Linked DNA regions of Astyanax mexicanus. The protein of the gene in region 2 purifies or fractionates together with the protein of the main gene of each other region. This does not show direct contact. Links are inferred from orthologs where the notes say so. Each region holds a gene or a part of one and is shown on either strand. Other genes may lie near its edges. The genes, in order: mafk and bach2b.

The links.
Region 1: the proteins of bach2b (region 2) and mafk purify together in Homo sapiens (co-immunoprecipitation; 3 studies listed by BioGRID and IntAct, with this or other methods). This does not show direct contact. The link is inferred for Astyanax mexicanus from reciprocal best matches to the Homo sapiens genes BACH2 and MAFK.

What each region holds. Positions count from the first base shown.
Region 1 is NC_064410.1:57,363,470-57,376,016, forward strand, and holds the start of mafk (transcription factor MafK), read right to left. Parts: upstream 5,126-12,547; 5' UTR 4,905-5,125; intron 1-4,904. UniProt on the Homo sapiens protein: Since they lack a putative transactivation domain, the small Mafs behave as transcriptional repressors when they dimerize among themselves.
Region 2 is NC_064408.1:47,687,724-47,699,847, forward strand, and holds the start of bach2b (transcription regulator protein BACH2), read right to left. Parts: upstream 4,845-12,124; 5' UTR 4,481-4,844; intron 1-4,480. UniProt on the Homo sapiens protein: Transcriptional regulator that acts as a repressor or activator. Binds to Maf recognition elements (MARE). Plays an important role in coordinating transcription activation and repression by MAFK.

The DNA.
Region 1 (12,547 bases), on a different chromosome or scaffold from region 2:
TTACATCAGGGTCTCATAGGAGGTAGAGCTCCTAATTCATAGCAGCAGAACTCGTAGAGAACTTACGCCGAGAGTCTCAGTGCAATGATTTTACCTCAAGAGCCAAAGCCAAAGTATTACGATACTGACTAAACACCAAAGCTGGAGAGAAGAGCAGCCCTCCACTGAATGTAAGTGAATGCAAGTGAATAGTGACCCTTTTTAAATTCTCCATAAATGATCATGTTTCAGACATAACATACCCAGTCTGTTCCTGACACTCGGCATTAGAGAGTAACAGAAAGAAAGAACTCCCTTTGAAGGTTCTAATGACAACTCTCCTTTTTTTAATATAATCACATGTGGAAATGAATCACATTATCCACTCATGACTCACTTTTCCTACGAGGGCGTAGCTCTAGTACTCTCGCCACCCCACAAAATGGACTATTGTCCAATGTTCCTGAATGTGAACAGTCTGCAGATTAACTGACTGCACACTCAGGAACATTCTAGCAGGGCTCAATGAGATACAGTAAAATAAGGGGACACATATAGAACAGAAACAGCACCATATTAATACAGTATTAATAATATTAATACTGATATTAATAGCACAATTTACAGAGAATGTTATGGGTTAGACTAAACAATTAATGCAAAAAGGTCAAACCCTCCAATTCCCTACTGTGGCTATAATATAACTAGTATTTTAATAATACTGCTTCCGTGATATGAGTTTTTTTATGAATAATTAATTAAATCAAACAAGCTGTGATATCGTCATGAATAACAGCAACCTCAAACTGTGTTTATCCACATGCAGCAACAGAGGGAGCTCTACAGGCGGCAGACTGTGTTCATGTGACATAACGAGGCTGGAGGTAGAGTGAGGCTGAGCAAGGCGGAGCAAGGTACATTAGGGTAGTGTAAAAGAGTGAGGCAGAGCAAAGTAAAGTGAGGTAGAGCGAGGTGTAGTGCGATGCAGATTGAGGCAGTTTAATATAGAGCAAAGTAGAATGAAGTCAGAGTGAGGTATAATTAGGAGTAGAGTGAGGAGTAGAGCAGAGGCAGAGCAAAGTGGATTGAGGTAGAGCAGGTAGCAAGACTTAGAGCAAAGTAGAGTAAGGAGAATGAGAAAGAGTGGGGTAAAGTGATGCAGTTTGAGGCAGAGCAAGGTAGAATGAGGCAGAGTAAAGTACAGTGAGGTAGAGTAAGGTAGAATGAGGCAAAGTAAAGTATAGGGGAATGAGAGAGTGGGGTGAAGTGATGCAGATTGAGGCAGTTTGAGGTACAGCAAGGCAAAATGAGGCAGAGTGAAGTACAGTGAGGTAGAGCAAGGTAGAATGAGGCAAAGTAGAGTAAGGAGAATGAGAAAGAGTGGGGTGAAGTGATGCAGATTGAGGCAGTTTGAGGTACAGCAAGGCAGAATAAGGCAGAGAGTTAAGTACAGTGAGGTAGAGCAAGGTAGAATGAGGCAAAGTAAAGGAAGGAGAAAGAGGCAGGCAAAGTTTGAGGCAGACAAAGTGAGGTGTAAAATTAGGCAGTTACAGGTAGCGTGAGGCAGAACAAAGTGGAGTAAGAAAGAGGGAAAAAGAGCAAGGTAAAGTGATGCAGAGTGAGGTAGAATGAGGCAAAGTGATCTTCAGAGTGATGCAGTTTAAGGTAGAGTTAGGCAGAGTAGGTAAAGTGAGGTAGAGTCAGGTAGAAAAACATAATCAGTAATATCGAGATCAGGAAAAATGATTGAGGTAATTTTAATATATTGTACTTCTAGTCATTAATACAATTGTCATAACTGGCCAACCTCCAATCGCATTAATTTTTCTTATGCAATTAAATAATGGTAAGAATAATTTGAGGTAATATTGCTTAGCACTAGAATGTTCAGCGATGTGTTTAAAAAGTTCTGTTAAGGTTAGACTGAAATGTTATAGAAATAATGTTCCAGGAATTTTCTTTAAAAAAGTGTGATGTAATAATTAATTGTAATAATTAATGGTCTGCATCATGCTATAAAATGTTATTGAATGTTATTAAAATGTTATTACAACATTCCTCACACATTGTTCCCTGTCCAAATGTCTTTCTAAACGTTATGGCTAAAAACTTTCAGTTTGTGAATCAACTTATTTCTACCTCACTCTACCTCTCTCTACTTTATTCTGCCTCTCTTTCATTATTACCTCACTCTACCTCTCTCTACTTTATTGTACCTCACTCTACCTCATTCTACCTCTTTCTACTTCATTCTACCTTGCTCTGCCTCACTCTACAATGATTTACTAAATGTTATAACAAAAAAGTTACATTTGTATTTTCCAGATGTTCAGAATGGTCTTATTTCTTTTCAGATTTCATACGCATATTTCAAAAAATAACGGAAGATAACAAGTTATATATATATATATATATATATATATATATATATATATATATATATATATATATATATATATATATATATATATATATATTTTTTTTTTTTTTTTTTTTTATAAACAGGGTTTATATGACTGTGTTAATGCCACATTTATTACATTGTATTGGGACGCTTTTGTGTGGGAAACGTTCTAACAATGTTGGAAAGTGATGGACACTTTTACTATTACGTCACACGACTTCAAAGCATTCCTGGAACGTTATTTCTGTAGCTTTACAGATTTACTAACCCTTCCTGGAAGCCTCTTCTTCTTAAAGGCGCTGTTCTAACGTTTCCCTGTGATAGCTTTGGGAAACGCGGGGCTGCGTTAATGACCTTTTTTTTCGTAAGCGAGCGAAAAACACGCGCTCACTCCCACATCTCTGGCATGACGTCACCCTGAACTCTGCCCAGCGTCTGGCCACTACAGAGCGCAGCGCAGCGTAGCTACGCAAACAGCGTGGAGGAATAACGCGGTGTTTACCTCGCGCTAGCGCGCGCTTTAATGTGTCACACTGTGTGATGTTAGATGTGCCCGGAGGAGCGGGGTAAGATCAGGAGCTGACCACAGCGCCCTTTGTCCCACAAATCCTACAGGACACACACCACGTGCTCTGTTTCTCCTCATGTCGTAACGTTAGATAAGTAATTTACTTAACGTTACAGAGAATAGTTACGTATAAAAGAGATAAATAACAAAAACACGCAGCTAAAATGTTAGGTCAAAAACGTGTTTAAAAGAGATAAAAAAAAACAATTAAACAATATATTACGAGCTTTTATTAAGACTAAATATGAATTCTAAAGAGAAATATCAAAATATGACGTGCTATAATACGAGATAACTGCCAAAACAGTCAATTAGAACCTTATATTAGGCTAAATACACATTTTAAGAAGAAAACACAACTTACATCACGTCAAAAACATGCTCAAAAGGTGATATAACGATTAAATAATACAATACTCATAACAAATACAGTAAATACAATAATACAAACTCCAAACAAGAAAATGCAAACTATGCAACATCTAAAATCGCGATCAAATATGAGATAACAATAAATTACGACCTCCAATTAGAGTAAATGTGGATTTTAAAGAGAAATACATATTATTTGACGTCGGAATCATGCTACAATTTTAGATAACTGTCAAAACACTTAAAAACAACCTTATAGTAGGCTACTTTTTATATTTTAACAAGAAAATCGCCTCACATCACGTCAAAACCATGCTTAAAAAGTGAGATAACGAATAAATAATACAATATTAATAATAAATACAGTAATACAAACTACAAACAATAAAATGCAACTATGCAACATCTAAAATCGTGATCAAATATGAGATAATAACAAATTACGACCTCCAATTAGACTAAAATGAATTTTAAAGCCAAAAAACTTGCTTAAATGTAAACTTACGATTAAATAATACAAATAAGAACGTGTAAACTATATTTATAGAAATCATGCTTAAATGTCATAATCGTGCTATAATATAAGTCCATTACAACTTTATATTAGGATAAATACACACTTAAAAAACGAATTACAATCGGTACACTGAAATAAATACAAAATAAATACTCCATTACGTCAACATAGTGCTTACACGTGGGATACTAATCGAACTACGACCTCTCTTTTTTTGACTAAGTACGGATTTTAAACAGTAAACGCATGATAAAACAGGTCAACATCGTGATAAACACTCAATTACAACCTTATTTTAGACTACATAAAGAATTTTAACCAGTAAATGCGAAGTACATTGAGTCAAAACATGCTCAAACATGACACTAGATTAAATTGTGTATTTTTTTAAACAAGAAAACACTATATTAAAAATTGTATTAGCTCCATAATCATGATGTCAAGAAGACATTAAAACCTAAAACCTTTTTTTTATTTAATAAAGTAAAAAATAAAAACAAAAGTAAACTATATATGCTAGTCTGTATAACGCTTTGCTTGCTTGTTTTATTGCTTGCTTGTCGTTTACACACATACACACACCACACACACACACACACAGACGCACGTGTCCACATTACTATTATAATACCTTATTATTGTTGTTAGTTAGTTTTATACTAATATAACAGCTATAAACCTATAATAAATCTAAATATACCCGTGTTAAAATGTTGGAAGTGATGATAAAAGGAATAAAAACAATATATAAAGGTGTGGGATACTTTATAAAAGGTTAATACAGCTGTTTTGCGCTGTATTAGTTATATGTTGGTAATCCAGGTTCAGAAAGTGTATGATTCGCACCGTGATTTCGTTTCGACCGCCTGGGCGGCTCCGCTGCAGCCGAGCTACAGCGCAGTCGCCCAGGCGGTCGAAACGAAACCCCGAAGCGAATCTTCCACTTTCTGAACCTGGATCGCACGCATCTAGTAATAAGGCGCAGATTCCTCCGCGATTCCAGCAGGAATTTTTAAAGCGTGTCCCCGAGCTCGTGCGGGCAACGCGCGTTCACCGCCTCTTACCTCGTGAGCGCGGAATTCCTCGCCGGGAGCGCGCACTCCCAAACACCGGGTTTTTTTATTATCCAGCAGCAGCAGGCGCGCGTCTCCGTGGCCGGTCGCGGACCTGGGGGCTCCGAGCGTGTGTCCCGCAGCCGAGCCGAGAAACGGAGCCGCCAACTACACAACGCTAAACTACAAAAACAACAACAGTGTAACCAACATTCCACTCCGCGCTTCCGCAAGCACGCGCGTCACCAGCTCCTCGTGACCGCCCCCTCCATTCATGAAAATAACTTTCTGCTGACGTCAGACAGGCGGGAAAAAAACGGACGACGGCGAGGGGAGGCCAGAAATAGACGCAGCTGGTGAATTCTTTCAGAGAGAGAGCGGGAGAGATAGAGAGAGCTGACCAATGAGATTACATAGCTTATAATAATTACATAGCTTATAATAAGACTTATAATAATAAAAAGCACAGAAAACTATGTAGAAACACATAAGGATTCATATAGAAAACTTTCTCCCAGGGCGGTCCTGATGAGTGCCACTTCCATCATTACATTTATTTAACTTTGGTCTGTACAAATTTACTTGAGAGTACTTTAGTTCCAGCCATAGTATGGATTAGAACATATACACTCAAATAGGGTTATTCACTGTATACCTGTAACTCTATCTCTTCACAACTTTACAACTAATGCTCTCAAACACATTAAGAGACAAGAAATTCAAGTGATTAACTCTTGACAAGTTCTGCACAGCTGATTGAGAAAATGAGAATCTATAATATAAAACATATTCTGGTTTGTTTAACACTTCTTTTGTTTTTGCCATCAAGCTGCCAGCGCTCAGAGGGAGCACAATTGGCCTTGCTTCCCCCCGGGTGAGTAGATGGCGCTCTCTCCCCGCATCACTAAAACGGTGATGTCTGCAGCACAGGGCGTCTGTGAGCTGATGTAGCGGAACCTAGTTGCTGCGCTTTTCTCCGAGCGTGCTGTGGTGCTACTCGGTAATGCTGCATCAGCAGCAGCTCGAAAAGAAGCGGTGGCTGACTTCACACGTATGGGAGGAGGCATGTGCTGGTCTTTACCCTCCTGGTGAGTTGGGGCATTACTAGTGATAGCAGGAGTCCTAATAAATGGGATGGGTAATTGGCTGTGCAAAATTGGGGAGAAAATGGGAAAAATAATGTTTGCTAAATAATAATTCCATATGTTTTTCTTCATAGTTTGGATGATATTAGTATTAATCTACAATGCAGAACATTTTAAATAATGAAAAAAACTTTAAAAAATTTAAATTTATAGTCTATAGCCTTTATTAATAAGACGTAAACTTCATATTATAGTAAAATTCTCATCACTTACCAATTGGCGATGAGTCAGGAATCGTGGAGATTAGTTCAGTGAAGGTTCATGTTGAAAAGTTATTAAAATTGTAACATTTTAGGCATAATGCCATTATTATAAAGGAGTATAATCAAATGGTCTGATCAACTGAGGGTGTAGGCGATTTAACCACCGGCGGCTGTGCAGCATCATGAAGGTGGAAAGCATCAAGACATTTTAATAATGTGTCTTAATAATACCCATCTATGCGTTTCCTTCTGCCCTTTCAGTAGAAAATGGTACAGAAAATAGGATGACAATGGGATGCTGCCCTGAATAGGGTTTTCCTAGGTGCCACACCAGTGGATTAAATATTATGCGGTGCCGAATAGGAGCCCTCACAATGGGATAAAGTCTATTGGTACCACTTTAAAATAAGACTACCTTTATAAAGGGTTTATAAATGGTTTACAATTAGTTTATTGATGGTTACTAATTAGTTTGTAAATGCCTTAAAATCATTAATAATCAGTTATAACACATACATAGAAAGGGCAACAATGACCTGTTGTTTGTTAAATAGTGAACCCACAGCTATCTATTTTGTTGGCCCTTCGACGTATGTGTTATTACTGATTATTAATGATTTTAAGGCACTTACAACCTAAGAAGTAACTGTTTATAAACTATTAGTAAACCATTTATAAACCCTTTATAAAGGTAGTATTATTTTAAAGTGGGACCAGTCTATTTGATGATACAAGACAAAATGCTTCGTTGTGATGGAACAAAGTTTAAAGCATCTGGGGGGCAATTTCTTTAATTCATTTCTTCCCCTCCTTCCCTCCTCTATCACAGTATTTCCATTTGGCCTTCTTTATGCCCGGTCTTAATTTTTCTTTGTTACCTTGAACTTCTATGTCATTTATTACTAAATGTACATAATTATTGTAAGTCGCTTTGGACAAAAGCATCTGCCAAATGTAATGTAATGGGCCTTTGAATTTAGTCCACAAGTTCCATGTTTGCCCCACATATAGATAGATGCCCACAAGGGTCAATGATTAGACCAGCCATTGGCCTCAACTGGGTTGTACACTGCATGTGGGCTTAGATGGACCCATATAAGATTAAGGTGGGGTCCAATGATGGGGTCCAATGGGAAGCCCAACTAGGTTCCAGTAGGATCACACTTACAAACCCTTCTTTCAGAGTCCATGCCCACCTGAAACCCACACATGAGCATATAGGCTGATTCATTAACGTCTAAACTGCTCTGTCTCTGCTTTGTCTAAATCATTACTGATAGTTATATGTCTTAAAAGTGCCAAGTTCTCCAGTCCTCACATCTTACTCAACTCCCAAGCTCCACTCTGTAGTGTGTGTACCGATAGTAGCAGTGTGTGGTCTGATGTTTGAGTGGAAAGAAAAAGGGAGGCAACAGCTCCCTCTGTCTGTAGTTACCAGCATCAGGGCTGTAATAACATGGCTGTTGGAAATGCTTGCCATATTTCTGAGGCCTCTGCATTCCACAGTTCCAACCAGCTGCGTATTACAAGGCAGGGGAATCCAGCCTGTAACTATGTCTAACATCAGCAAACCACCAAAGTCTATCTGCACTGTTTACATAGTGTTGTTTATGGCATTAAAGTGCTATATATAAATGTATGTCCTTATAAAGTTATGATCCTTATGTCATTATACTCATGACCTTTTGGTATAATGTAAAGGTTGTAGCTTATCTTTACATTTTGTCATCATTTCATGGTGAGTGGATCAATTGAAATGCTTGAAAAACCATGTAATAAAATATAGCTATGGAAAAAAAAATAAGAGACCACTTAAAAATTATGGATTTCTTTGATTTTGCCAAATTGAAAACCTCTGGAATATAATCAAGAGGAAGATGGATGATCACAAACCATCAAACCAAACTGAACTGCTTGAATTTTTGCACTAGGAGTAAATGCATAAAGTTATCAAAAAGCAGTGTGTAAGACTGGTGGAGGAGAACATGATGCCAAGATGCATGAAAATTGTGATTAAAAACCAGGGTTATCCCACCAAATACTGATTGTCATTTAGAACATTTATTTGCAGAAAAATGGCTGAAATAACAAAAAAGATGCAGAGCTTTCAGGCCTCAAATAATGCAAAGAAAACAAGTTCGTATTTATCAAGTTTTAAGAGTTCAGAAATCAACAGTTTTATGCATTTTGGCATGTTCTCCTCCATCAGTCTTACACACTGCTTTTGGATAACTTTATGCCTTTACTTCTGGTGCAAAAATTCAAGCAGTTCAGCTTGGTTTGATGGCTTGTGAACATCAATCTTCCTCTTGATTATATTCCAGAGGTTTTCAATTTGGTAAAATCAAAGAAACTCATCATTTTCCAGAGCTGAATGTATAAAGAGTTCTACATGGTGTATCTTACAAATAGTCATGACATTTAATATAACTTACAAGCAAATATACTTATTTATATTTACACTCTTTTATTTAACTGTAGTATTCTTATTACATCCTTATTACACACTAGGATTTTTATACATTATGAACTGAATGAGGCTCCTGACCCCTTATAGGGTTAAAGCAATACATTTCCTCAAGCAAATCCTGGATCTGAACCCATTAGCAAATATATACCAAACTGCCATCTCACTTCCCTCCAGAGGAACTGAGTAAGTGTACGCTGGATCCTCTGTGGCTGAGGGCATCATGCCAAGTCCGCTGGCTCATACTCTTCTCCTGCTGAACAGTCCTGCCACTGAGTGACTCAACACACGTGCATTCTCCTCCGAGGAGACATATGGATCCAATCTCTCGCTGGTGTGCTGGGTTGCTTCATGCACATCCTATGTGGAGAGCTGGTTGGCGGAGTAATCTGATGAGCAATCATGCTAGCATTTTGGGTGGCTTTATGCTGCAGAATGATCGGAAACACTTGCAGATATGGGTCTGAGAGAGAGAACAGTTCAGCAGGAAGCTTCTGGAACTTTTCTGAAATAGGAGTTTTCTTGTTCGGGCCTAGAAAATGCATTAGCATACAGCTAAACCAGGTAACCTGATTGGTATCAACAGAAAATGCAGCTTTGGAATAGTTGAAAGGGATAAATTAACCATATCAAATTTTGCACAGAACATTTCTGGAGTTGTATAACCTGAAGTGTGAGAAAAATATTTTCTGAGTTTATTCTCTAAGACAGACTACAGCTTGAGTTTACAGGCACTCCTGGTGGGCGAAGGGCGCCGGTAGGAGGGCCAGCAAAGCACAGTGCTTCCTATCCCATGGTACATTGCAAGTTTTATCTGTAATTAATGTTCTGAATATAATAAGAGTAATGTATTTTTCGCACTATAGGCACACTTAAAATCATTATAATCCTTATAAACATTATGTATGAATTCTACCAGTCAGGTATTAAGAAGCAGTAAAGCCACTCCACTGAAGTACAGTGATATGCAGGAGTTTCAGTTTAGTTCTCCAGCAGTATTAGCATTAGCCGCTAAGCACGCTATGTACTACCTCTTTGGCTGTCCAGAGGTGAGTATTATTGGCCTGTACCCTGCTGCTAACCCTGGCTAGCACTGTTGGAGCAGCATTAGCCTAAGCTGCTAACCACGCTAAGCACTCTTTGGCTGTTCAAATGCGAGTATATCTGATGGAAGCCTGCGTGTTTACCATGTTAAAACAAGCTACGTGGGATGAACCGCTAGCTGATAATGCCCTGGCTTACTGGAAAACACTCAGTGGGTTCCTCAGTGTAGCTCTGTCGGGTGGCATTAGCCACTAACCGCTAGCAAAACCAGCTGAATTGGATGAAAAACTTGGTGACACTCCGTTCCTACTACTAGTTACTATATTTTTACTAGTTACTTATAATCTGGTGTGCCTTATGTTTGAAAATAGACCAGAAAATAGACATTGCAATTAATAGTGCGCCTTATAATCTGATGCGCCTTATAGAGTGAAAAATAAGAAATGTTGGTATGTATGGTTTTGGATGTTGGGTGTTGTGTTGTGGGAATGTTTAAGTACCTAAGCTAATTCACATCGGTTTCAGGTTTTGCACTGTTTGGTTCATCATGTGCTTTTATGATAAGTAACTGTGCGATAAACACAATATCAATCTCAAGATCAAGGGAGTGTGTTTTAACTCTTTTTGTGCAGTAGCCAAAACAAGCTGAAACATTGTGTTTTTTGTGAATTGTTGAGTCAAAAGTTACAAAATGTTTCCCAGCAGTTCCTAGTATTTTGGTGTGCCCCAAACTAGATAGGAGGCTTGTCTCATATGACTGGAGATAACTGCCTGACATTGTTGCAGGGACGACCGCAGACTTGCCTATAAAATGTTAAGTGCTTTATTTATCAGCTAGTGAGTAAGGTTTCAGTATTGCTATTCTGTTTATTCTCTAACTGTCTGTCATTCCCAAACCCTGAAACTGCATTACTAATCCTGAAACCTACTGCTGCCTGAAACCACAGCAGTCCACAGCGCACCATTATCCCCCCTCAACCAAACTTTACAGTTGGCACAATGCAGTCTGGCAAGTACTGTTCTTCTGGAAACCGGCAAACCCAGACTTGGGTTTTAGTCCTCATATACAGCCAACATGCATCCATACATCCATAAGTCAACGTCTTTAAATCCTAGATGAATTGTGCATGCTAAATTGCTACGGTTAATGCTACATACACATTAGTTAAAGCCACATTGGTCAAATCCGATTTTTTTTTTAAAATCAGATTTGGCTATATTGACACATTCACATTCACAAATATAAGTGAAGTGACCTGTTTCTATGTGTAATGTGAACGAATCTGAATCCCTTAAATGCCACAGGTGGCACATTGATATGTGTATAAACGACACCTTCTTCACCAACAAACAAAAAAACTCATATTTGAGAGACGACTTGTAGCTTTATAAAGGGAAATGGATGCGTTTGTTAGCAGCTCATATGTGGAGCATCTTTTGCTGGAGTGGAGAGTAAGGTGGTGAGGACGTGAAAAAAGGTCAAGCGGTTTGCTTTTGCTGTTTTTTTTTTCAAGCTATAGCTGCACAGCTGCACCAAGAGATGTGTGGGTATGGGAGAGAAGCACCTAGCGCTAATGCTAATGCGTAAAAGCAAAAAAACAACAAAAAAAAACACATGAATTCCAATTTGACCATTCACATTCATGTCGCATGTTCATGGATCCGGTGCGTATTCGATTTAGGAACACATATGGAAGTGAATCAAATCTGATTTAAAAAAAAAAATGGCCAAAATAGCCATGAAAAAATCATATCTGAGCCACTTTGAGCAAAAAAAAAATCATATCTGAGCCACTTCAGCCTGGTAATGTAAACGCAATCTAAGTGTATGAGTGAATTGGTATGTGTGGTTCCCTGTAATGGACTGGCATCCTGTTCAAGGGGTATTCCTGCATTGGTCTCTGACCCACCACAAACCTATAAGCAGCTAAAAAAATGAAAAGAAAAATGGCATCACAGAGCTCTGCTTTGGTGTGGTGCCATCTCAGTAGCGCTCTTACTAATTCCCTAAACTAGCGCTATCATTCCCTAAAGCTGTGACATTTGGCCGTCACATGGTATCCAGATCAACAGCTCATTTCAGCGCTATCCACAGGGAAAGCTTGCAAAACGAGGGAAAAAACAACAGAAATGTAAATCACAGTGAAACCCTAACGTTCAGAGGGAGAGATTCCGATGTTTTGGAAGTTTTCTTCCTCAAAAACACTGAGTCATAACCGCATGAGAGCGGTTTGGGGAGAAACGGCTTATTTGCAAAATATTCCTGCAGGTTTATGGACTTCCCTCGTAACACGGCCTTTAAATCTGGAGCCTTGACTAAGCATTCCACTGACCTCATCGAAAAATGCTTAATATGAAAAACACTTTATGTAACGAGTTGGTGTGGCGCAGACAGATGGCGGAGTGCTCTTTTCTCGCATGGCTGCTTTTAGTTACACTCAGTTACCAAAAGTGGGGTGGGGTGAAGGGGGGGGGGGTGTTAATGCTTACTTTAGGACGCTATTTAAAAGCAGGCCTTCATCTGAAGCACATGATACATTTTGCTTTTAACTTCTTAACCTTAACCTCCTTACAAACCTTACTCCAAAAACCTTGATTTTTCAGATTTCATTTGAATATTCATGTAGTATATATGTACAGTCATATTCCCGAGTTTGCAGGAAACAAACTATTCAAACTAATGGGAATGGTGTCCTGTAACATCTAATGTATTTATTCTAAAAACAAAAGAGGTCTGGTAGGTTTGTTGGATGTAATTGCTGTACATTTAATATTTGGTATTTTAAAAATGGACAC
Region 2 (12,124 bases):
CTGGTTCCGAGTGGTGACTGATGATGCCAATGGGCATGAGTGTCATCCTAACACAACGTAAGAGAGGAACAACAAAAGCCCTGTCTGAACTTCAGGAGCTTCGCACACACAGCGCACACACAGCACACACACTCTCGCTCCCTCTCTCTCTGTCAAAATCTGGAGCTCAGTCAAACATGCCATTGTGCTGACGTGGGATGGCTATGGGAACATGTTTTCATACCCTAGGCTTGTGTTCTGAAAGAGCGCTGGTGGGCTTATTCAAACAAGCAGGACAGGACAAAAACCATGCCTTTAGCTAGCATTTACAGCTGCACCACACTCCTCTGAACTTTACCACCGCACTGTCCGGTGCAAAAACAAGCTTCATTAAAATATGCATTATTTTTTGTGTGAATCTAACATGCAACGTGGAGATGGAACTAAAGATAAGACACAAGCACTGAGCACTGTCGACGTGGAACTCACACCACTGCTCTCCTACATGCAGTCATTCACTGTACGGAAATTCAAACATCAGCTGTCAGACGGAGGCAAACAGTACAGTGTGTTCTAAATCTAAACAATGTCCACTTTCCTTGCAATACCTTAATATATATATTTTTATATATTTTTATAGATGTTTGCATTTATAACATGAATATCAATTATCAGTTGTTGAGCGCTGGTTACAGATTGCACAAAGAATAGCACAAAAGCAAACACACTCTTAGCTCCTTTACACAGATGGACAGTGGAAAGGCAAAAAAATAAATAAATGCTCTGTGTAATGACAGTAAGCTCTCCCTAGGTAGGCACCTGCCAGTCTGTGATGAAACATAATGTAGGATATAGGACATATGGGACATACAGGCACTTACAATAAAGAAATAAAGGAGGTAAAAAACAGGTTATGTGCAGTTTTATTACATGTGAATGAAATAAATGAGGTAAAACACTGTTGTGGAAAAACTCAGTTTTTGCTGTATTTTACTTTTTTACTTTTTTTTCTTTTTTACAGTCGGACAGCTGTTCTCATCAATGTATATTTCATGAAGAATGGACCAATATGATGAAATGCTCCAAAATGATTTGTAATAAAATCTTTTTTTTTTACACTTCCACAGATACACGTGTATCTAAAGGTTCATCGGTTCATGAACAATAAACCTGACGCCAAAGTATGAACATAAGACTCACCCACAAAACGTTTACATTAAAACGTTCATAAAACCTCTTTATAGAACAAATTAAGCAGTTTTATTGTATAATTCTAAGATACTCCTCCTATTATAGGATATATAACTGTGTGTTGGTGAATTTATGAAAAATAAAACATAACGGGGATTGAGTTCCGTCTCTCTGCGCTGAGCAGACAAAGGAATGCAGGCTGGAACGCGCTGTATCTTTTTTCTCCACCTGTTTTCAGACAAATCCCGCCACCTGGGCTTCGATTGGAGGGATGGCAGTGATTTCGGCCAATCACAGCGCTGTATGCAAATACGAGCGCTCGAAAGTACCAAGAGTACCGGACATTAGCCAATTGGGGCACGTAGTGGGCGGGGCCTCTGCGGAAAACAGGTGGTGGCGGGGTGGAAACAACAAGGCAGCGTAAAATGCTGCATCACCGCATTGGTGAGGGAGGAGAAGGAGGAGGGGGAGGGGGAGGGGGGTGCACAGTTTTGGATGGGAGCAGAATTTCTTACAGCACCAAACAGCTCTCGTAGAAACGTGTTTCCCCCAGACTGTTCAAACACGGGCTCGCGCTTAATCGGATCAAATCGCGACAAGAAGATCGCTAGCGAGCATTGTATTAGCATAGCAGATGCTCCTGAAGCTTACGGGAGCGCGCGCGCGTGTGTGTGTGATAACTAAAGGCTAACGCGGGCTAATGTTACATTCATACATCCTCCCAGCTGAAGACAAAGCCAAGTCATTCATAACCAGCGAGCTCACGGCTCTCACAGCCAGCAGCCAAAAACACAACGGGGGGTGTTCTGTCGATTTGTGCTACCCATCGATTTGTGTTACTTAGCAGCTCGGCGCATGCGCTAATTCTCATTTTTATTACTATTTTCACGTGTTTTGGGTGCATTATACAATCTGAGATCACTGCCTTTTTTTGCTTGAGTGAGATATTTTTTACAACCGTGTAAAGTAATAATTATGCTAATATAAACATAACAAAAATAACTATAGAATGGCTTCCAATTACATGTATTGCCTTAATTCTACTCTGATACAACGATTTAGGCTATTCCAATATCAAATCGACACTTTTACAGCGAGACTATTCGAAAATATTATTAGGATATAGTATTTCTTTTTACCTTTAAATACACTAGGGTAGCACGGTTTGACAAGGTAGCACAACTCGACAACACACCGGCGCTGTATTTACAGAGAGACGAAGCGCTTTCATCAATGAAACCGAATTAAAACGACACGTCATCTGAAAGTCGAAGGTTTAATTTGACCACTATGATAATAAGATGACTTGTTTGTTTACAACCAAGTCCACGCTCCAGTCCACGCTGACTCCCACAACTCCAGCGCAACCTATTCCTAAACTGATCTCCAGTCAGTGATCATTCAGCTCAGATTCCACGCCTCAGTTATCAGGAAACATGCGATACTGATTTCGGTGTTTTCAATGTTTGTTTGGTGTGAGTAACATTTCTATAGAGAGACCGAGAGTGTGGAAAAGCGGACTCTGCTGCTTTAAATGGCACCCTCGGGCAGCAGGGCTGCTGCTGCAGCCCCCCTTACACAGCAGATATTTCTGCTGATATTTGTGTGGATTAATGGAGGGGGGGGGGAGGGGGCGGGGGGGGGGGGGGGTGTTGTAATGCGGTGGCTCCGGGTTGGAGAGCGTGTGTGTGTGTGTGGATGGCAGAACAAAGCCAGCCGGCGGAGAGCTGCTTTTCTGCAGCAGCAGGATAAGCACATTCCCACAGCACAGGACTGCTGCTGCTGCTTTTCACTGGGATACTCTTGCGAAAACAAAAGTGACACGACGGGCTGATCCCTCCATGTGCACAGAATACAGCAGCCCTCATTATCATTAATGATGATGATAATAAAACAGTTAAACAGCAGCGCTACAATAACAGCAGCAGTAGTAACTGACTTAACTGACTGAGTTACTGACTGTAACAATACTAGTGGCAATAATAATAGTAATAACAATAATAATAATAAAAAATATATATATATATATTAAGTTTCGTGAAAATAAGATGAATAGTAGCAGGCTATTACTAATAAGAATAGTAATAGTAATGCACGTGGCAGTAGTAACAATAATAAGAAAAAGAAGATCCAAAATATTACCACTACTAATACTACTACTAATAATAGTAACACTAGTAGTAATAGCAGCTTCAGAGAAAATAACAGTAGCAGTAGTGGTTATAATAGCAGGTTATCAATAGAATCATCAATAATGGTAATGGTAATAATAAAAATAATAATAATGATATAATACAGTAGGTTTCGTGACAATATCAATACAATAGTAGCAGTATTGGCTATAGTAGCAGGCTATTAATGATAACAATAGTAACAGTAATGCACGTGGTAGTAATAATAATAATAATAAAAAGAAGATGATGAAGAAGAGTACTACTATTACTATTACTAATAGCAGTACTAGTAGTAGGAGAAGGTTCAGACAAAAAATAACTGTAGAAGTAGTGGTTATAATAATAGCAAGTTATCAATAGTAACACCAGTAAGGGTTGTGGTTATAATAACAATAATAATAATAATAATAATAATAATAATAATAATAATAATAATAATAATAATAATACAATTAATAATAATAATAATAATAATAATACATGATATTACTTTTCTTTAAAATACTTATTATTAAAAAAACATTTTAAAAATAATAAATAAATGATGATGATAATAATAAGCCGGAAAAGGGTGAACTAGACCCCCGAAGAAAGGGAGTGGGGGGGTTGGTCCGTCTCTGTGTGTGTGCCACTTGGTCGGTCAAGGCTTCCGCGAGTGACAGCTTCTGTTCCCTTCACGAAAACAAGGGCCATGCCTGACACCCCCACCACCCCCACCCCTCCTCCTAAAGCCCCTCAAACCCCTCCACCCTTCCTCCTCCTCCTCCTCCGGGATGGCAACGCATCCAACTCCTGCTCAAAAACAGGCAGCCGGCCGCTCGAGCTCAGCACAACAGGATGCGGCCACGTCCCACGGCGCGCGCTCCTCGTTCACGTGCACCGTGCTTGGTCAGGGTGGTCAGTGCAATGCATGAAGACACGGTTCCCTTCGCTCTACTCCGAAACTCGACCACCCCCTCCTCTCTTTCTCTCACTTACTCTCTATCCTACTCTCTCTCTCTCCTGCAAAAAGCACGAGTTTCTAACTGCATTTCTGCACGAGGCGATATAAGCAGCGACTAGAGCTCGAGCTGAGTGAAGTGCAGAACCACAAACAAAAAAGACAGAGACAGAACACGCCAGTCGAGTCCACTTACCTTCAACTTCCCTCTGTTTTTCTCTCGTAATCCAGCCCGTTCGTGCGCGTGCTTCAAAAAAAATCAATGTCTTTCACATGATGACTTCCTTGCAGACTCCTCTAAAGCCTCCTCGTGCAGGAAGATCAAAGCCTGCACTCTTTCTCTCTCTATCTCTCTCTTCGCAGAGTCAAGTTTGGGAACAGAAGACCCCTCAGCGTGCACGCGCGCGCGTTTTTGTGAATCTCTCTGTTGATGTGCAAGAGTGTGTGTATGTGAGTGTGCATACGAGTGCGCGCGCGTGTGTGCGTGTGTGTGTGCGCGCGCGCGGTGATTCCGTTCAGCGTGCAGCTCCTCGTCTCCTGTGTTTGGTACTGAAGCTCTACGCCTCCCCTGCTCTCTCTCTCTCTCTCTCTCTCTCTCTCACTCCGCTACCGTTGTTGACATTCGCCAAATGACGTCACCTCCCCCTGCCCTCATTCACACACATACACACAATAAAGCAGCGCGCGCGCGCCTGCGCCAGCCCCCCCCCCCCCCCCCCAATATAAACAAACAATTCACCGAATAAATAAATAAATAAACACATAAACATGTGGCCGGTGGGCCGGTGCGCGCGCACAGCGGAGTGAGGAGGACGCGGCGTGTTTTTCTGAATCGACAGTTCAGTTCACTACAGCGACACGACCCGGGGGGCGCGCCAAAACCAGCGAGACAACACGCGCGCGCAAACCCGCTTAGAGAATCAGCGTTACGGAGCAGCGCTGACGTTAACTTACTACCCCTGTCAGACTCACAGATTACCCTAGTAATAATAATAATAATAATAATAATAATAATAATAATAATAACAATTTGCATTTTAAAAAATAAGCATAAAATCCATACAAACATTGTTTGTATAATATTACCATATTATACGAAAATAACTATATCATACAGTAACACAACATTTACTATTCGTATAGTACAATGAAAAAGTAAAAATAATAATACAAAATAATAATTGATATTTGAAATAAACAAATAATTCATACATAAGCATACTTATTTTATCATAATTGTTATTATTTAAATGCTAGGAATAGTATACGGTACTGTACTATATAACAGGACACCACCATAATTATTTGTAATTATTTTTAATAAAAACAATATCAAAGTATTATTATTATTATTATTATTATTATTATTATTATTATTATTATTTTATCTATTATCAATTACAGTTATATTGACTGTGATTATTGTTATAAAGAATAAATTTAATATTTTTTATTTGAACATTATGGCTGTCCTTATTTAATTTCTAAATTGTTAGCTGTTTTTGACTGTAAATAACAACAATAAATGATGGGTTGTTACAACAGTGGATAAAAACAATATTAATCAATTAAAATGTTTATTTTAGTTCTGATTACTAGTTATACTGACTATAATTGTTACTGTGATTTATATGGAAATTACAGCTGTTTTTATTATTATATTTAAAATTGACCTGCTGCAGAATCTAGCCCCAGACCAACTTTCGTTGGTAGCTGGTTTCAGATAGTCTATGCTGGTCACCTAGGTGAAAACATATTATATGCTAGAACGCTAGACCACTTAGGAGTATATAGAGTATATATTGCATTTGATTTTGGTCATGCTTGGCCATGGAGGTCAAGCTGGTTAAAAAGCTTGGTCATGTTGGTCATACTGGTCAACCAGTTTGATTTTGTTGGTCAACCAGCTTGGTGATGCAGGCCAGGCTGTTTAACTAGTATTGTTAAGCTTGATCATACTAGTTGTCTAGTGTGGTCAGATTGATCAGACTTACAAATATACAGTACTACGCATTTAAAACCATAATGTTTACTAATGTTCATCTGTTCTTTTTACAACAATGAAGAAAAACAATGTGATAGAGGAGGTACATATGTGTGGGTCTGTGTGTCTGAGTACAGTCTTCTCAACACAGCCTGGCTTTGTTCTGAAGCAGCCCACACAGCACAGCCGCTCTGGGTGGGAAGAGTTTCATTTAGAGGGGAGAGCTCTTCCCCTGGGGAGTCTGCACAGAGTCTGCACTTGGAGCATTCATACAGGAGTGTATGTGTGTGTGAGAGAGTGTGCTTTTCTGAGCTAAAGTGTCCTCTTACTGTTAAGAGGTATGACTTATTCTGCTATTCTGAAAAGTGTGATATTGAGTGGAAAGTTATTTTCTATTTATGGTTAACTGTTTAAATCTAAATTCTACTAATTAATACCCAAAGGATCCAGACACCCCTTCTAATGAGTTCAGATATTGTTCAAATGCAAAATTTAACATCTTATTTAATCTTCATAGGGTGCTGTCAATAGAATGGGGCACTCTGGAGGAGCCCAACCACACAATGACCAATGCTGTGCAAGGGCTAGAGGGTTAAATGCCTCCAGCCTTGTTCTGTGGAACAGTGAAACTGTATTATCTGAAGCGACAGAGCTCCATTGAGTTCCCTTAGCAGGAGTTGGAGTGGCATCTGTGATCAAGAACTAATGTAAAATCAATACTTGACTTCACTTAAGATCTATTGGCTCAATGCAATCAAATGCTTTAAAGCAGTGTTCAAAAATCTAGTGCAAAGCCTTCTTGGAACAGTGTAGAACACTTATTGACAAAACAATTGATAGTTGAATGTAATAATGATATTTACAAACACAAGCACAAGGATACGGGGAAAAGTATGGAAAATGTACAATTTTAAAAGCTATTAGTACACGTTTTGGTGCCTCTAAGCTGGAAACAAGATAAGCAATTTTCCACCAACGTAGAACCGTTTTGGCTACAAACCTAATTTTTAACTGTTTTGCTGCATTTTCACCAACAAAAGTAGATTCCAGAACCAGGAACATTAATTTTTAGCAGGAATCAGTAATACTAGGTTCTTCAGTGCGAATCGTGACTGCTTCTGTTCACCGCCGCTGTGCAACACCCTCTGTTGTGAACGTATGTTGTGACGTTTTGATGGTTCCACTAAAACTGGTGGAGCACTAAGGCTGGTTCGCTGAAAAGCACCACGGTTCTTTTGGTGGAAAAGCACTAGATAAGATATAATTGGGCATAGAGACATACAGATTATATATGGCATTGTGCAGCACTCTTGCCCGCAGATGTTGCAGCTGGCCCTGTAGACCCTGCTCTACACTTGCTAGTTGCCAATGCTGGTGTTCCAGCTGGTCACATAAAGGCTAAAATGGTAATAAATCTGACGACTGAACAGAACCTGGAGTTCAGGTTTCTTGTTCCTGCCATCACTGAACATAAAGTTGATAGTGGCTGGCTAAATTATGGCCTAGATTTCATTTAATTTGATCGCAATGTTCGAGTCATGGTGCTCTGGGAGCTCTCTCCCCTCATTACTTCCAGTGTGATGCTGGCTGGCACAGGCATCTGATGGCTAGTGTATTAAAGCTGGGGATCTGGTGCTTTCTACTGAAGGTTCTGACTACCTAGTGATATTTCAAAAAGAGACGGTTGCTGACTTTGCATGTACTGGAGGTGGAATGTATTAGTCTTTCTAAAAAGGGACATTTTTAATGTTTTAATTTTTAATCTTAATGGAGGTCATTTTATTATTACCTTTTTGTGATTTAGAAGAAAAACACTGTGTGCATAAGCAGCAACCACTTACACACTTTTACCGCACTGCACACACCCCATATTCCAAACCCAACACACATACACATAGATGGACAGTTGAAGTGGCATTCCTGCACTCTCTGACCTTTCCTTCAGGGAATTCTGTCAGGGGCCCGGAGAGACTGGAGGGCCGGAGGACAAAAACAGATCCATACATGTGTGTGTGAGAAAGAGAGAGAGAGAGAAAGAAAGAGAGAGAGACAGTGGGAAAAAAACATAAGGAGAGTACTGTGCTATACATATTCATTTCTAGTTCCCAGAGGAGCCACATTTTAACCCTTGATCTCAACCATACTTAATAACTGTCCATTAAAGTGAACCAAACTTGCAGTAAAATAAAAGACAGTTTCGGCACCTTTATTTATTTATTTATTTATTTATTTATTTTATTTTTTTTACAAAATACACTGTTAAGGTTTTAATTTTTTTAAATATATACAAAAGAGAGCAACTATAGTTATGAGACAAAGAACCATAGCAATTGCTCTAGACTATACAGAACACTTGGAACATCGTAGTGCATCCATCCAACGCATTATGGGGCTATAACTCCGCCCACAGCTGTATGCATTTTAATAAACTTGTATATATGGATTAAATATGTATGTCTAACATATAATTGTAACATATAATACCATATAAACATAAATCCAATAGATATTTATAATATATGTACATATACACATTTTTATGGATAGAACATGGGCCAGATAAAAAATGTAATATTTCTATGTTTGAAACTAGTTTATCTACTTACTGTAGAAAGCTAAAATGTATCTTTTTTATTAATTTGGTTCTTCCGATCCTAAATGGCTGTCAGGGTGCGGGCAGGAAGGACGAGGAGAGCGGATGCAAATGCGAGTGAATTTATTACACAAATAACAAAAGACAAAAATAAACAAATAAACTGAAACTAAACTGAAAACAAGAAATATGGGAAACAGAGACGCAACCATAACAGGCTAACAAAGCACAAGAACCGACACGAGGGAAAGGGAGCACGGACTATAAATAGTGTAACACACACGGGAAACAGAAAACACCTGGGGCTAAGGGGCGGAGTTACAAATGAACACAGGTGAGGGCAAGAAACACTGAGGAACACGGATCACGTGGGAGACACACTCACAGTCACAAGCAGAGACAGGCACAGAAAAGGTAAATAAACACAGAAACACGAGAACAGACAGGGACCACGTGACAATGGCAAGAATAATTTTTAAATGTTAAAATAAACTGCTGTCCCCATATGAGGACATTGTTTTTTTTGTTTTTGTTTTTTTTCGGCAAAATACAAAGTTTAGTTTTTATACTTTTTAGGTCCTACTAATCCTAAATAACTATGAGAAATGAAAATGCACACCAAACAAAAATCAAATGCTAACACTAATGTTTAGGGTAGTAACAAACATAATATATTATATTTTAGTGTGTAAACATTTTCTATATAAAATTTCCCCCCACATAAATTTAATCCCATAGAAAATCTTTACAAACTAAAATGTTTCATGTCCACTTTAATGCTCTTTTCTGCATTAATGTTGCATAGATAGATAAATATATATATATATATATATATATATATATATATATATATATATATATATATATATATATATATATATAGATAGATAGATAGATAGATAGATAGATAGAATTAGGCAGACAGATAGATAACTTATTAATCCCTAAGAAGAATTTTAGAAAAAAAATATATCATATATAAAAAAAAATATCATATTGTAACATCTGCACTGTTACACTAATAGCATGGGTGTGTTAAGGCAGGTCATCGTGTGCATGTGCTGTTGTTTCCCGCCCACCATGGTGGACAAACACTTGCATTTTTATGTGAAGAAGTGTAATTAAGGGTAATGCAAACAGCATTCACTGTGTCTGAGGTTTAGAGAGAGAGAGAGAGAGAGAGAGAGAGAGAGAAAGAAAGAGAGAGGTCAGACAGACAGAGACAGATGCACTTCCACACACAAGGAACATCACTGGCCAACTGACCTCTTGCTTAAAAGACTTGTGCAACACACCCTCAAATACTAGATGTGTAACACAGTGCCAATGCCTGGATCTGAATCAGTGCTCACACAACATGTCCAATTCTGTGTTGTTGGAGTTAAACTGGAAGTTGGTGTAGCTTAAACCTGAGATTTGTAATATTTTAGTTACTTAAACTTCACAAATACTGTAAAATCTTCAGGAACTGTGTGAGAATATTTAAGCTGCTTGATATTGATTATCACAGGGCGCCATTAGGAACCTCTACAACTCCATGCACAGATATCTGACATTTTTCATTGGATTTTTGCTTGGTGTGCATTTTAATTTATCCTAGCTGTTTAGGATTAGTAAGACCTAAAAAGTATAGAAAATTAAATTTTGTCTTTGTACACAAAGTAGTTTTGCCCCCCCCCCCCCCACCCCCCCCAAAAAAAAACAATGTCCTTATATGGGCAGTTTATTTTAACATTTAAAAATTATTTTTGCCATTTAGGATCAGAAAAAAAACAATATTTAAGATTTCTACAGTAATTAAATTAACTAGTTTTAAACTTAAAAATATTTGTTTTTATCTGGCCCAAGTTTCTGTTCATAAAAAGTGTATATATAGATATATTATAAATACCTATTGGATTTATGTTCATATGGTATTATATACTGATTATGCATTGCAGTCTAAATTAATTAATTCTGGGCTAAATTCACATTACAAACCTCATTAAACAAATTGAGATTTTTGCTCAGATCAGACTATATCATTCATAAATATATGTGATTTGTATCTGCGATATGTGAAATAATCTGGTAATTTTAATGTACCCAGAAGAAAAAAAAAAACTTTTAAATGTGTCCCTCTGACTGGATGTCCCAGAGTGAGAGGACATGTAGAAACTTGTGCACTTGTGAATGTGAAACATCACCCAGTCATCACTTTTCTATTTTTTTTATCTCACAACATCAAGGTAACCTAAGTTCAATGCTGAGGAATCGAGGAATCATCACTGTGCTAAAATAAGGGACTGCTGTGTCATTCATTCAAATACAAATTCATATTCATTCACATAAAAGTATGAAAAAAGTAACTTTAAAGTTTATCAAGCTGTCTGTTAGGAATCATGAGTTACACACTATTTTCTTATGAAGTAGTTACATGTGAACTGTAAACTTTGAGGAAACTGTATTTCTCACTCTGTAAATTATACAAAACATTATTTTGAAAGGTTTTAAAGTTGTGAAAGTATTAAAATGGCAAAACACTACAAAATGCAATGTTTCCTACATTGACATTGACTTTTATTTTACTACAGACAGTACAAATCCAAATAATTATGTTTTGCCTGCTCAAATGTCATCTATAAATACAGTTTACATTAATTCCTGCTTTTCAGCCCTGCAACACATTCCTGAAAAAGTTGTGACGGTAAAGCATTTACCAATTTTAAATGTTGCAATTCCCTAACTTTTAGAAAAAAAAATTTGGTTCTAAGAATGATAACCAATTAAGGTGTTAACGATTACCATTGTTCCTGTAAACTAGTGATGTCAACTGAGTAAAAAAATGAATACGTTTAATCCCGACAATATTCTGTGATTAACTGCGATTATTAACACTTGTTTTTCTTCAAATGCAAGTTTTTATAGTGGATATTTAAATGTAAATAAAAGAACGAATGTAAGAAATGTAAAATGCAATTATATTTATATTAGTTGTGTCAATTAAAATATTAGTATATACTTGTATGTTTGAGCAGAGATAAAGCCAACGTGGGGCACTGGATTAAAGAATACATGATACATTGGACAGAGAAAACTTTTTATTTTACTTTATTTTGAACATCTCAGCTTGGTTCTAAGGATTTCTGTATTAGAACTTAATTTGCTGAGTATAAAAGAGCGTTTTCACACCTGTAGTTGGTTTCTATGGTCCGGATCAGCACAACAATAAACCATGTGAGAACATTGTCTCCTCTGATTGGCCAGAGCTGTCTGGCGTGGGA